Lonchura striata: one gene and its partner. The protein of the gene in region 1 interacts with the protein of each later gene in a pairwise test. Links are inferred from orthologs where the notes say so. Each region holds a gene or a part of one and is shown on either strand. Other genes may lie near its edges.

What was found. The genes of interacting proteins can lie anywhere in the genome.
Region 2: the proteins of MTUS2 (region 1) and SLC25A6 interact in binary tests that used the Homo sapiens proteins (3 or more experiments, as listed by UniProt). The two-hybrid records come from large-scale screens. The link is inferred for Lonchura striata from reciprocal best matches to the Homo sapiens genes MTUS2 and SLC25A6.

Annotation. Positions count from the first base shown.
Region 1 is NC_134604.1:68,699,034-68,706,106, forward strand, and holds the start of MTUS2 (microtubule-associated tumor suppressor candidate 2), read right to left. Parts: upstream 3,003-7,073; 5' UTR 2,934-3,002; intron 1-2,933. UniProt on the Homo sapiens protein: Binds microtubules. Together with MAPRE1 may target the microtubule depolymerase KIF2C to the plus-end of microtubules. May regulate the dynamics of microtubules at their growing distal tip.
Region 2 is NC_134604.1:83,189,529-83,196,864, reverse strand, and holds the start of SLC25A6 (ADP/ATP translocase 3), read right to left. Parts: upstream 3,006-7,336; 5' UTR 2,907-3,005; coding exon 2,796-2,906; intron 1,694-2,795; coding exon 1,207-1,693; intron 513-1,206; coding exon 372-512; intron 1-371. UniProt on the Homo sapiens protein: ADP:ATP antiporter that mediates import of ADP into the mitochondrial matrix for ATP synthesis, and export of ATP out to fuel the cell.

The DNA of each region.
Region 1 (7,073 bases):
GAACTCTGGAGATCTTTCTGGTCACCTTAGATGAAGCACTGAATCTTATCCTCTTTCCAGTTCTCCACTGGAAAACCCAGAATAGCAAGATGATACCATATAATAGCAAAGGGCAGAACAACAACCAAATCAGGTTTCCAGAGAATTCAGCATCAAATGTATACCCAGCAACAGAAAACAACAGCATTCCCAAGTTCACAAGGATGCTTCTTATATTAGGATAGTGCCAAAGCTGTACAAAAATCCATCTGAATTATTTTCCTAAAGAAAAACTATTTCATCAGTTTTGAGTCTGCAGTAAAAAAAGTTCAGGGAAGAACAAACCACCATACACTGAAGTTTTGCTCTCCTTTGCTACTTTCTTTCCAATTTCTGCTGCTTATGACTTCTTTGACAAAACTGACTGCAGCAGGTTTGGTAATAGTTGCATTTAAACAAGGTCAGTATAATTATAAATAACTTCTGATAAAATGCAGTACTTGTCAAGTGAAAGCATTTGCTAAATCAGCTGGCTCAATAGTCTTTTTAGTAAGCCTCAGCATCTGGACAGGGGAGGAGGAGGAGCAGAGATCCTCTTGCACTGCTTGCTGCTGGCATTTCAGCAAATATCTTCACCCAGATATCCATTATTATGCCTAGATCTTTTCTTCTATAGAGCCTTCAATCAAATGTTAAACCAACTACTGTGTATGAGTCTCTATTGTATTGTATTATTTAACTTTTTCTGCCATTGTGTGACTTTCCAGAGAGTGCATATGTAAGTGGAGTTGGCTGTAACTCTGTCCTACACTGACTTCTGGTACTTCCTGAATGAATTTCAGAAACAGAGAACACACACTGCAAGATGAAAATCTTTGTTCTCCTAACTTAGGAGAGAGGACTGATTCTCACTGGTTACCAGGTTGCCAGCACAGCCTCTAATGTGCTTTACAGCTGCACTTCTGCTGTTAGCTCACCTCTCCTATCTTCCTAAATAGCTAATATTGCTTACTATAACATAAATGTATTTTACATAAAAATACACACTCCAGAAAGTAAGGCTATGAGTTTAAAGTTGCTTTCCTACTTGTTACAGTTGCTATCACTAAAACAAAATGTACCACGATAGAAAATGCTACCATAGAGAAAAACTATTTATCTGACCGAACCCTACACTTGCCATTTGTTAGATCAATAGCCTAATATCCACCTCTGTCCTTAAAGTGACAAATATACAGAGAAACACAGTACCATATTAAAAGCTACTGCAAATAAACCACATGGACACAGCCCTACAAACATTTTCCTCTCTCTGTGTCCCATCCGATCATCCCTCCCCTCCCCCCACCCCCCCGTTCCCAGGTAGCAATTTCCAAACTCACAGTGTAGCGCTGAAAGAATTGCTTACAGAATCCCCCTTCTGTACCTTAAAATAGAGCTGATTCTCCAGAAATTAAGGCGAGGCTAGGCACCATGGAATGAGACATTAACCCTCATTTGCACACACGCAGCTCTCTCCTACCGCTCTCCGGCAGCACAGGCTGCGCTGCTCTCCACAACAGATTGCATAAATAGGAGACAAGTAGCTGGGTATATTTAATTGCATTGGAAACAGGCAGACCTAGTAAAGGGTTTATGTAGCATGGGATACAGAAAAGCCTACAACCCTGCTTGAAATTGGGGATGAGAAACAATAAAACCCACAAACACTGCACTGGATGTAGGGAGCATAAAACAATCCCTGAATGAAATCACACACGAACCAAAACAAAGCATTTACACGAACCAAAACAAAGCATTTATGCATCACATTACATCCAGCTCATCGGCTGCCAAGTGCCTCCTTAATGCAGTCATCCGTTGCAAAGTTAACCTGCATGCAAACACTTGACATGCAAATGATTTTGCTACCGATGCTTTATAAGCAAATATTTCTAATGCTTGACCCGCAGAGAGGTGTTTATATTTTTTTACCTTTGCAGTTTTTAATGCAACTATAAATGTCAAGGCTTATTCTTTTCATGTTTAGTGCAATGTTAGGGATCATTGGCTCCCTAACACAGGTACCTGTACGGGCTGGTGCGACGGCACACAAGCCTCCTCTGCACTGTTACCTTCGGGAGGCAGCGATGGGGACCGGGGAGAAAGAAGCAGGGGCAAAGATAGAGAAGGGGATAAAGCAAAGAGGGAAAGGGTACCCGTACTCATTTAAACAGAGTTGGAAACGACCGATCTAGATGAACAGCTCTTCAAGCAGAGGCATTTTACTTGAGTAGGAAGACCTGAATTCGCTGCCCTATCTTCCCACGTTTAGCTTTCCCTCCTTAGGAAAACGCTGCTTTTTATTCGTAGTAGCTACTTTACCTTCCATCATTTTTCGGAAAAATATTGTGATGCTGTTATATGCCACGCACGAGGCTGAGAGTAATAGCAGCATTTCAGCCCTGCGCTCCCGTGGGCTGCCGGCATTGCCCTGAGCCCTCCGCTGGCCCGTGCCGAAGGCTCGGCCGTGCCCCGGGGTCCCCAGCCCTCCCGGGACCCTGCTTCCCTCGGCACTGTCGCCCCGCTGGCACGCTGCTGGCGTGCAGCCGGCAATTGCGATCCGCGCACGGAGAGCGAAGCCCGCTCGAGCCAGTCCGGCTATTGGCATCCCTAGAACTTTTGTCTGAACAGATTTCATCACAAATATTATCCACCCTGATAAGCAAGCTGCGCTTGCTCCCCCATCTCCTGCCCGCACCAGGGGTACAGGAGCAGCCACCAGCCCCGCCGCGCCCCGTCCGCGCAGGAGCTATCCCCATCTCCCGGAGCTTTTGCCCATGTCCCGTTCCCGGCGCCCCGGGGGCGGTGAGCACGGAGCAACCGCAGCCCCGGGGCGATGCGGGGCAGGGAGGGGCGCACACCCACGAGGCGGGAGCGGAGCCGGCGCTGCCCGCGGGACGCGCGGCGCTCACCCGCCTCGGTGCTCCTGCCCCGGTGCCGCCGCCGCTGCCGCGCCGCCGCTGCCGCGCCGGGCGGACGGCGCGGGCCCGGCACGGGCCCGGCTTTTATAGCGGCCAACGCCGCCCCGCAGCGCCCCCTGCGGGCCCGCCCGCGCCCCGCGCCCCGCGCCCCGCGCTCCGCCCGCGCCCGCGGAGACGCGCCGGCAGCGCGGCGCACCGCGCACAGACAGCGCCCGCCGGCGCGGCTGTGGGGCGCGCCTGTGGCTCCCCAGATGTTTTTTATTTCCCAGGTTAGCGCCCTGGAAGCACGTAGGTGGTTGTTATTAGGTTTCCGAATGGGATGTTTGATTTTTGGGGTTTTTTTGGGGGGGAGGTGGGGGAAGAAGGGAAATGTTTAGGGTCAGCGTCTGTGTAATAGTGCCTCTGATGGCATCAGGAAGAAAAGGGACTTGCTCGTGGTATGGCTTTTCTGCTCCTTGCTTGCCTGCCCTCCAGTGCTCCTTGGCTCCGAGTTCATTTCTCTTTCACCCTACAATGAGCAAGAGAATAGAAAAACGAATAAATAAATACTCGACTAGAGACACAATTTTGCTTTTCAACAAAACTTGTAACTCGGAGGGTAATCTCCATCACTTTTACTATGCTTAAACTGCAGCCCGAGGGTTTTACTCCCGTAGCAAAGAGAGCTCTGTGGTACCGGCAGGGAATCTTTATTGTGCGTTTACAGCCTTATCTGCACCTACAGCCCGTGCTACAGCTCTCTCTATGGGCATTGTTACATTCCCGGTGAGCTAGCGCTTATTGTTTCAATCAGCTGTTAAAATCGGCAAGCAGGCACGAGATCAGATGGGAGTTTTATCATCTGTGTCTAATGCTGGGCAACTCAATTAATTTTTATGAAGTCCTCTGGGCAAATGCATGAGGATCTGTTCAGGAGGGGGTGATGAAGGGATTCCTGGTTTGCGAGGCCAGCCAGATGATACACAGCATCCTCCTGTCTGGGAGCCCCTGCAGTGATGCCTGGAGACACCGGGAGAATAACCAGGAGCTTACACAGAGCTATGAGACAGAGAGAGCCTAGGAGTCTAGGGAGACATGGAAAGAAATGTCCATTATCTACATAACAGTGCCAGCCTGGCCCTTTGGCAGATGGGATTCAGTACAGTATTGAGGAAAGTCTTCCTTTTCTCAGGGCCTGCCTGGTCAGGCTGGTGTTACAGGCTCACACGGCAGGACAGTCAGTGTCACAGGATATATCCTTATTTCCCAGGCACACAATAACTTTCTTATTTCTGCCTGTGCTCAAACACACTGTGCTTGCATCTGTCTGCAATCTGAAGTGCCAAGTACAATCCCTGTGGCACCATAACGTTGTCTTTTATCCTTAAAGGACCTTCCTTTAAGGTTTGTCTTCCTGCTGAATAAAGCTGTGTTCTTCCCCCACACCACGCTGGACTAAATGCTACGCTTCAGTTACAAAGACAATGAAGATAAAGGATCTTAGCTGGTAAAGTCACTGAGAGCATCTCTCTTGCTGGCACAAAGGAGGACAAACCCTGACAAACCAGGCACTGGCTAGTTTATCTGTAGTGGTTTAGGACATGAACCCTCCTGCCTCCCAGCAAAGCAGGCGGGACAGGAGACATGGCTGCATGGCTGCACCTCAGCTCAAAATTCAGAATATGATTTATGTTCAAGCCCTGAGCTTATGTATGGCTAAAATAAGGAGAGGGGATTCTGAAGAAGTGATTGAAGCCATCCTGTACCTCAGCCACTGATTTTTAGGAAACAGCAGTGCCATTTGTCTTGTCCAAAGGCATTACCATGAAGCCACTGATGACAGGGAATTAGCAGGCTTTCACTGCCTTCTTTTACATCAGTATTTGAAAGGATCCACTGGCTCTATTAAAACAGGGACAATAACAGAGAAAGTCCAAATTAACTCAAAATATTTATCAGTCTGAAAAGATCTATTATATGGAAAAAAACCCAGATACTTGCCAGTTTCAATTTCTTCCCTCAATCATTTTTGCAAACAATCATTGCTCCCCTCTTTTGACTTCTGATCATGGAACTATTGCACTCTAAAAGATAACTCATGCTGTTATCACACCTAATTAAAAGCTACTTAGCTGTAGAATGTAGGCCTCGCTTTATTTTTAGATTTTGTGCAGAACTGAAATTATCTGCTCTAGACAATTCACATAAACTTGTTTTTCTTCAACATTTGGAAGAGAGTTCTCTAGCCTATAGAAAGATTTCTTATGCAGCTCCAACAAGCAGAAGGCATAACAAAAGAATAGCTGTTTATGCTGCAAAGAGTAAAAGAAAATGATGAGAAACTGAAGGGCGGATGGCTTTTATAAATTCAGGCAGAGCAGTTTCAAGCTGAACCCACTTTGTCAATGTGTTTAGGAACAAGCTGCTGCAGCTACAGAGAGGTGGCAGAACAGCCTCACACATAGAGCTGGAAATAGAAGGCAGAGAGGAGGCCCCGGCCCAGGGCAGGGACAGCCTGCCTTGGAGCACACCAGACAGGACATGATGGAACTGGGGAATGGCATAACCACACTCCTTGGCCATGGCTCACCTGGCAAGCGCCCCAGGCCTTCCCTCCCTGTCGTTGAGAGCATGGATGGTTGGCACACTGGAGGCACCTTTTGCTGCACATCCAGGCTTCATCCCTGGTGTTTAAACAAGCACCAGGAAACCTCAGTGGCTCTGATTGTACTGACAGACATCCAGGGAACCAGCTGGATTGGTGATCATCCGTGCTGATTAATTTTAAGTGCGCTGCAAGGCCAATGCCATGTAGCCTGAGCACAGCCTATGGGTGCCATACAGGAGGGATTGTCCCCAGCAAGCAGCAGAGTTGGGACTGCAGTGCTTCCCATTTCCTTCACCCTACACAGTCTGCCAGCTCTGTCACAGGAGGTTTTTCAGCCATAAACTTCATTTATCACCCAACGTCATACAATCCATAGCCTATTTCATGCAATAAAACACCATTCCTGTGGGCTGCTGCACAGCTTTATATGTGCTCAGGCAGCATAGGTTTGGAAGAAAAAAAAAAAAAAAGGAAACATCTCTGCATTAATACCAATGTCTTGGGGCCACAGGGGCACCAGATGGGAGTCTAGGATCAAGCAATGTGCAACATGGATATAGCCAGTCTGTGCCCGTGGCAGCACTTACTGATAAATACAAAGCTAGGGATGCCAGAAAGCTGCACAAGGCTCATTTCTCTCCAGAAATAAGCAAGAGACGCAATCAGTGTTCAGCTTTACAGATTATCTGGGAATGATCAAAGTCAGGGGAAAAAATAGCCTCTCCTCCTATGCTCAGATAAAGCTGCAAAAGCTGCAACATCATATTAAAGGCTATTAGCTCCAGAAGATTTTTTTAAGGGTTTTTGTACCACAGAGGATGCAGCTTGGGTCTGGATGATGAAGGGTCCACAGAGAAGCCCCTGGGCTGCAAGCACTGCTGAGGGCACAGGAGAAGGCACTGGAGCTGCAGCCTGGGGGCACAGATAGGCAGTTCCCTGGTGCCCAGCTCTGACTGGGTAAGATGCATAAACTACTGTCTCCTAGGGGAACTTTTCCTTAACCTTCCAGGTCTACCCTGCACACAGTTTATGAGCAAAATTGCAATTGAAAGTGTGATTTTTATATATCTTTTTGGGTTGTGGTTTTTTGTTGTTGTTGTTGTTTTTAATTTGTTTCAGGATTTTGGTTTTGGTTTTATTTTTGTTTCTGTTTTTTAATTTAGGTAATTGCTGTAGTCATAGCAGCTATTTTTATTTAAATGCCATCTTAAACTTCAGTTACACCGGGTAAAACTCTAGTGCTGATACACTTGTCCCAGTATGAGGCTATCTGATACTAACTTAGGTATCTTCTTGTCTTGAATAGCTATAACAACACAGACACTTTTCCATTAACACAAGTGGTGACTGGGTCACTTAAACTGTTATCAGTGTAGGTAAAGTGGGACAACTCTTGTGTCCCAGTAAACACTGAGAAGCTGGCTCTGTCTATGCTGCTCTTCTCATCAGACTGGCTTGACACAGCCTCCCAAAGAAACATGTACTGTGAAGATGTAGGGGAGCTCTATGTAAATTACACCTAAACCAATTCTCTCATCTGTGAA
Region 2 (7,336 bases), about 14 Mb from region 1:
TTTATCTCAGGTAATTTTAACAACTGTCCTGTTTCACTTAACTGCTTTGTGATGTCCCAAACCACAATTTAAAACTTGTAACACAATACTTGCTAAAATATTATGCCTCCTTTTTCATACCTTTGTTTAATCTAACAGTGCAAACAGGCAGTCCATTTTTTAATTTCATATTCCATAATGAAAAGTCCTCAGCATAAATCCTGATAATCTCAGGTTGAGCCTTACTGCATTTCCTCATTTGAGTACAATAAAATAAACCAGATTTTTGGAACAATAAACTCTAACTCTGAGGATGGCTACTAGTAAAAAAGAACTTAATCTTGTTAAAGCTTTTTCAACAGCATTAACAGCTCCATGGATTTAGAGCCTACCTCCTTTGCGTCCTGACTGCATCATCATTCTACGCCGCACTGTATCGAAAGGATAGGAGACAACGCCAGCCACAGCCGTCACTGTCTGGGCGATCATCCAGCTGATAACAATGTGAGTGTTTCTGGGATCTGGGAGCATGCCTGCAGTGAAACAAAAATGGCAATTAGTTTTTTACCTTGCACATCCTCCTCTAGTGCACTCTCTGCATGACAGTTATTTTACTAGATAAACTAGTATGAAACACTGTAAACCCATAGTCTAAATAAAATTGCAGCATAACATTTCACAAACTTTAAACATACTGAAGCTGTATTTGGAAGACTTTCTTCTCAGTAATCACAGTTTAAGTATTTTAAGCACAAGCATTCTTTTTAGACTGGCATGAGAAGACTTGACTATTCACTACACTTTTATTAAAAATACATCACTTAAAGTCACTGTCCCTGTGGATAACATTACACTACAAACTAGCACTAATGGCTTATTTCCCCAGATGTCAAGCTTAAAAATTACTTTGCAGAAGGCACTGCTCAGTCCCATTCTGCTTAACACACTTGAACTGGTCCAACGTAACTTCAGTATGCACTGAACAAAAAATAAATTATTCTTATTCTGTCTGGTCACCAACATACTCTCCTGGCCTTAGTAGCAACTGCTTGAAGTACAAAACCAGTACTTGCAGGTAGGCTGCTCCCATTAATACATGTACAAGTTTTCCTTTGTATACAGCAGTGTCAGGGATGTGGCACTGATATCCCCCTTCACTTTCACATATCCAAAAACAGAGAATGCAATTCTAAAAACAGGTTTTTCAGATCCCCTCTGAAATATTACCTTTTGCTGTATCATAGATCCCAAAGTAGGCAGCTCTATAGATGATGATGCCTTGCACAGAGACATTGAACCCTTGGTACAAGCCACGCACACCATCAGACTTGGTGATTTTGACTAGACAGTCCCCGAGACCAGAGAATTCTCTGTCTGCACCAGCTTTTCCAACATCAGCAGCCAAACGGGTTCTTGCAAAATCCAAGGGGTAGACAAAGCAGAGGGAAGTGGCTCCAGCTGCACCACCAGATGCCAGGTTACCAGCAAAATACCTCCAGAACTGAGTGTGCTTGTCTACACCTCCCAGAAACACCTGCTTATACTTATCCTTGAAGGCAAAATTAAGAGCTTGAGTTGGGAAGTATCTGATGACATTTGCCAAGTTTCCTCGCCAAAAAGACAGCACTCCTTGTTCCTTTGGAATACGCACTACACAATCGATGATGCCCTTGTACTGCTTATCAGCAGCAATCTGTTTGCTTGCATGTTGCACCTGCAAGTAAAAATACAAATATTGATCACTTGCCTTTACAGGTCTATGCTGCAGCTGGGCTTAAACCTGCTTTTACTATAAAACAAAGTTGCTAATTCTGAATGGCCATTGTTGGTATTACAAAGAAGAAGACTAAAAATTGCTTTCAAGCTTTTCCAGAAATCAGAATTTGGCAAAACAAGAACAGAAAACTGTGAGCAATTCCTCTACTACCTGAAGGGAGACTGTAGCAAGGTGGGGGCCAGCCTCTCCTCCCAGGCAACTAGTGACATGACAAAAGAACACAGCCTCAAGCTGTACCAAGGAAGGTTTAGGGGGAAGCAGGGGAGGAATTTCTTCAGATAAGAAGTGTTTAGACTTTGGAACGGAATGCCTAGGGACTAGTGAAGCAACCATCCCTGGAAGTGCTTAAGACTGGATGAGGCACTTAGCGCCACAGTCTACTTTAAATTAGACTACGTGGCATTAGGTTGGGCTTCATGATCTCTCTGAGGTCTTTACCAAACTGATTCGGTGAAGTACAAGGGCAAGTATAAGACAAATACACCACGACAAATACGCCGGGCATACGTAGAGCTGAGAGCCTTTACTGACGAAGCCGGGCCTGGGGAGGGAGTCTCCCGAGAGCCGCGTTAGGGCGGCAGAGGTGCCCGCGGGGCCGGGGGAGCGCGGCGAAGGTCACTCGAGTCACCTTGGGGCGCCGCGGGTCACGCCGGGCCGCGCGCGCCGGCCGCGCCCCGGCCCCGCCCCGCCCGCCGCCCAATCGCGGCCCGGGCGCGCGTCACGTGGAGGCCGCCAAGATGGCGGCGGAGAGCGGCCGCCCTCCCCTCCCTGCCGTGCCCCGGGCGCCGGGAGCGGGGGCGGCAGGAAGTGACACCATCGGCGGCCGCCCCCCTCGGCCCGGCCCTCCCTCCGCTCTCCGCCCCGCATGGCGGGACCGGCTTCGGCTTCCCCGCGGCCGCTCACGTGACCCTTCCGCCAGCCGCCGCCGCCTCGCTCGCGCCCTTTGTCCGGCGCTGGCCGCGGCCCCCGCCCGGCCCGGCGCCCACGGGGGCAGCGACGGGCGCCGCCCGCGCCGCCCTCTCTCGCCCGCACCGCTGACCTGGAGCAAGAGCTTGACCCGCTCGATGGGCGCCACCGCCGTCTTGCTGATGGCGGCGGCGACGCCGCCCGCCAGAAAGTCCTTGAGGAAGGAGATGGCCTGGTCCGCCATGTTCGCGCCGCGCCGGAGCCGCCGGGAAGGAAGCGCTGCTGCCGCTCAAGCCGAAAGGGCGGGAGCGGCCCCGCGCATGGGCTTAATGCCGGCCGCGCCGGCCACGCCCCGCCGCCCCATTGGCCAGCCGCACGGGGGGTGGGACGCGGCCCGCCCGCGGCCCGGCCTCGCGCTCCGCCCCGCTGCGGCGCCAGTGTCGCAGCGCCGCGTCACCCGCCGCGGCCCGCCCGCTGCCCGCGCCATTGGCCCCGCCGCGGCCGCCGGCCCGAGCGCTCTCCGCCATCGCCGCTGCCGGTAGCGCCCGCCCAGCCTGCACAGCCCAGCGGGCCCCCGTACCGCCCGGCACGCAGGCTCTGCAGAGCGATCGATGGGCGCTAACTGTATGAGGTTCATTCAACAGGACCAAATGCCAAATGCACTTGGGTGACGACAACGCCGTGCAGGGCTACAGACTGGTGGCAGACTGGCTAGGAAACTGCCCTGCGTAAAAGGGACGCTGGGTGCTGGTGGCAGCATTGTTAAATGAGCCAGCTGGTGCCCAGGAAAGTCAATGGCATCCTGGCTAAGAGGACCAGGGCAGTAATCCTGCCCCTGCACTCGGCACTGGTGAAGCCACTCCTCGAGTACTGTGCCCAGTTCTGGGCCCTTTAGTCCAGGAAAGACATTGAAGTGTTGGAGTGGATGCAGATAAGGAGAATGAAGCTGGTGAAGCACAAGTCCCGTGAGAAGTGACTAAGGGAGCTGGGGCTGGTTAGCCTGGAGAAAAGGAGGCTCATGGGTGACCTTACCGCTCTCTAGAACCACCAAAAGGAGGCTGTAGCCAGGTGGGGGTCGGCCTCTTTTCCCACGCAGCCAGCGACAGGACAGCTAGCTGCCTGGAAAACAGCCTCGAGCCTTACATGGGGAGGGTTGGGTTGAACGTTAGGAGGAATTTTTTCACAGAAAGGGTGATGAGACATTAGAATGGACTGTCCAGGGAAGTGGTCTTGTGAAAGTCCCTTGGTGTATCTAAGCAAAGATGTGGCACTTGGTGCCATGATCTGCTGATGTGGTTTTGGGTCAGGGATTGTACTTAATGGTCTGAGATTTCTTTTCCTACATAACTGATTCTGTGATTCTGATTCTGTGAAGCTGAGTGTGAGCTGCTGGAGCACTGGCTTTGGGGTGTGGGTCTGTGGGCCCAAGCAGTAGTCAATGAGCAGCACATTCACAAGCTAGTGAACTAGCAGGCTCTGCAGCAATTGCTCGAAGCCCGTCTAGAAGGAAGACACAGCTTTCTGCATGGGCTCCCTGTGGGGCAGCAGCAGCTCTCGGGTGGAGGGGAGCAGATTTCAGGCACTGTCAGTTTTGCTCCATTCTACCTTCTGGGTAATGCTAATCCATGGCATATCCTTATTCCCAAGTTCTGTTCCCACCTCCTCCTTAGTACTGCCAGTGCCAAGGGTCACATCATGGGGCTTTTCTGTATATCACTGAACTGATCCAAGACAACGGAATACCAAAGGACTTAGCTGCAGTTTCCTGTGGGACCATAGGACAGGGTGGTTCCAACTTCTTGTATGGGCACTTGAAGTTAGATGTTGTGAAAACCTCCTCTGCAGGCTGTCAGAGCAAGCACTCCTGGCAGGCACTCAGGCCCTACCAAGACAGGTGTGGTTTCTATCAGTGACTTTGCTAATTTTACTGTATGCTGAAATTGATATTTTGAACTTGTCAAACTTCTGTCTGAAGTTATACCTATTCTTTCTAAAATGTGTTGAAATTGTTCTAGCTGGAGGGCATTAGTACACATCACCTGCTTTCACTTTTAGTGGGTGTTTCCAACCAAAGTAAATAAGGCCAAACCTTTTTTTTAAACAGGCGACTGGTGAACCACAAAGCTGCAGTAGCTGAGATGCCAGAAACCACTGCTTACACATATATGTAATTTGCAGGATTTCAAAATGAGAGCATGTCTCTCAAGAGAGCATGTTGTGAGAAGAAAAAGTGCCAGGCATAGTCTTTGTCTCTGCTCTAGTACAAGATATGTCACTATACTTTTTTTTTTTGCATACCAGAAGATCAAAAGTAAACTGTGCTCTTCTGAAGCATAATAGACTGAAGTGACTCCTGTGCTCACAGAGGGTTTTGCACATAGGGTGTTAGAAGACCATATTCTAAACATAATTTTATGAAATGCTGTGGTACATTCATTCAGGGAGGCACACATAGTTATGGGCTTTTTTTTAAAAAAAAGCCCATAACTGAATGTTAATACTCTCTTAGGACAATACTTTGTCTGCAAGACTTGAGATATTGTTCACCATAAAATTTTCTATTGATTTAAAAAGAACTTCACATTCTAAGACTCTTGAGTATCATCAGTGTGAAAAATGAAGGTAAAAGACACATAACTTGTAATGGGGAACTTGTTCAGTCTGTAATTGTCATGTTCTGTTCAGCTTGGGAGCTCAAAATTAAGTAGAGCTAAAACGGTGTGGGATGATGTTCCTGAAACAAACTCTGTGCCCTCACATTTAATCTCAAATTACAATCACAGGGAAAACTTGTGCTTTTTATATAACTGCCTTTTTTTGGAAGCCTCTCTCAAAGCAGAGCAGTCCATCTTGACTCTCTCAGGAAGCTGCTGCTCCAGTTCTTGTTTCCAATCTTACACCATTGCAGTAGCAGTTTCCAGAGTTGATTAGAGTATGTTTATTTACAGTAGAGGGTATAATATAAAATGATACTAAAATGGATGGTGATGTAGCATTAAAATGATACCAACATTAACCTCCTAGAACAGGGGCAAAGCAATGTGCGCTGGTCTAAAAACTCTACTATTCTACTTGCACCAACTATGAAGAAACAGTGATTTCTCGCAGTGTGAATACTGCCCTTAGGCTGATGACACCATTTGTGTCCTACACATGTTGTGCAGCCACAGAATCTCCTGGCATCATTCTACTGAAGTCTAAAATAAATGTAATCAATCTTTCCCCCTTTTGAGAAGTAACACCAAAAAGCTGACATTTCTCGTTACATTTCTTGTTTATGGTATTGATGGGAAGTTGAGAATGTATTTGGATAATTACAAAACATCAAACATAAGACATCCAGACTACTGCTTAATACGTTTTTTCTAGGTCTTAACACAGAGAATGGCATCTAACAAATTTCCTGTTATTCTGATTCTGATATCTGTGAATCCATGTTGTTCCAGCAAAGCTTGATATTCAGAGCCACTTCTCTCCTTTCCTTCTGTCTGCACAAGCATGTTGAAAGACTGCAGCAGAGCTGTGCTCCTGTTCTTCTTTTCATTATCCAACACCATTTCAACCAGCAAAATTGCACAGCCTAGTTTAAAAACAAATGCATGCAACAGTTCTAATCCATTATCAGGCAAGACAATTTCTGCTGCCATATAGAGGGGTGCAAACTACAAGACCTGGGTGATTTCCTTTATCATTTATAGATTTGCTCTGCTATTAAATCCACTAATCAATGAATAATCCACTCCTCTCACAAACCCCAGGAAATTCCCTTTCACAGTATGGAGTGATGAAACACTCACAAGTCAAATCACGTCTCTGTTTTCAGAGGAAAAAGGGGATAACTTCTGTAGACTTGGCATGATGACTATAGAAAACAGTAAGACAGGAATAGAGTTGCATTTCTTTGAGATATACTGCTGTTTCACATTCATGTTGAAATGCCAAGCAGAGAGAAGAGTGGATGGCAAGCATTACAGAAGCAAAGGAGAAGTCAATGTTTCTGTTCAATACATTCTGTATACATTCTGTATGTTATTTCTGTAGGACCTAAAATTCTTTGTGGTGGGACTGACCTAAGGATGAAAATAGAACTTAAATCATCTGATTTACAGACCCTTCTTCTCCATATTCAGACTTGTGAGGGGAAAGGGATGTGAAGAGAAGGCTACTGACAAAAGCATTGCGATACGTACTTGCCTTTTGGCCTTACACCACCTCAGATGAAAATAGCAGCAGTTCAGAGTGATTTTATTAGGAAGCGCAGTGTAACATTCATACCTTTCTGCACTTTAATACAATCTCCTCAGAGCCATTCCAATTTGTACAGCTCAGACATTCGATAATAATCAAAAAGTTTTAAAACTTAACCCCTCCTCATTCTTCATGTTAGGAAATCTTTCCTTAGTTATGCATATTGCTTAGAATCTTTTCAGTGTTAAGACTACTAAATCCACTCCTTCTACCAGTCAGCAAAAGATATTCAGAGCAACTGAAAAACTTAATTTGTATATTAGTAAAATGAGCTTATAATTCCTCAGGTGACTGGCTGCATCACATGATTGTAGAACACCTGAGTCTGAAACAGACCACAGGAGCTCTCTAGTTCAGCCTCCCACTCATAGCAGGGCAGCTCTGCAATCAGCTCAGCTTCTTTAGGACTGGCTTCACACATGGAAG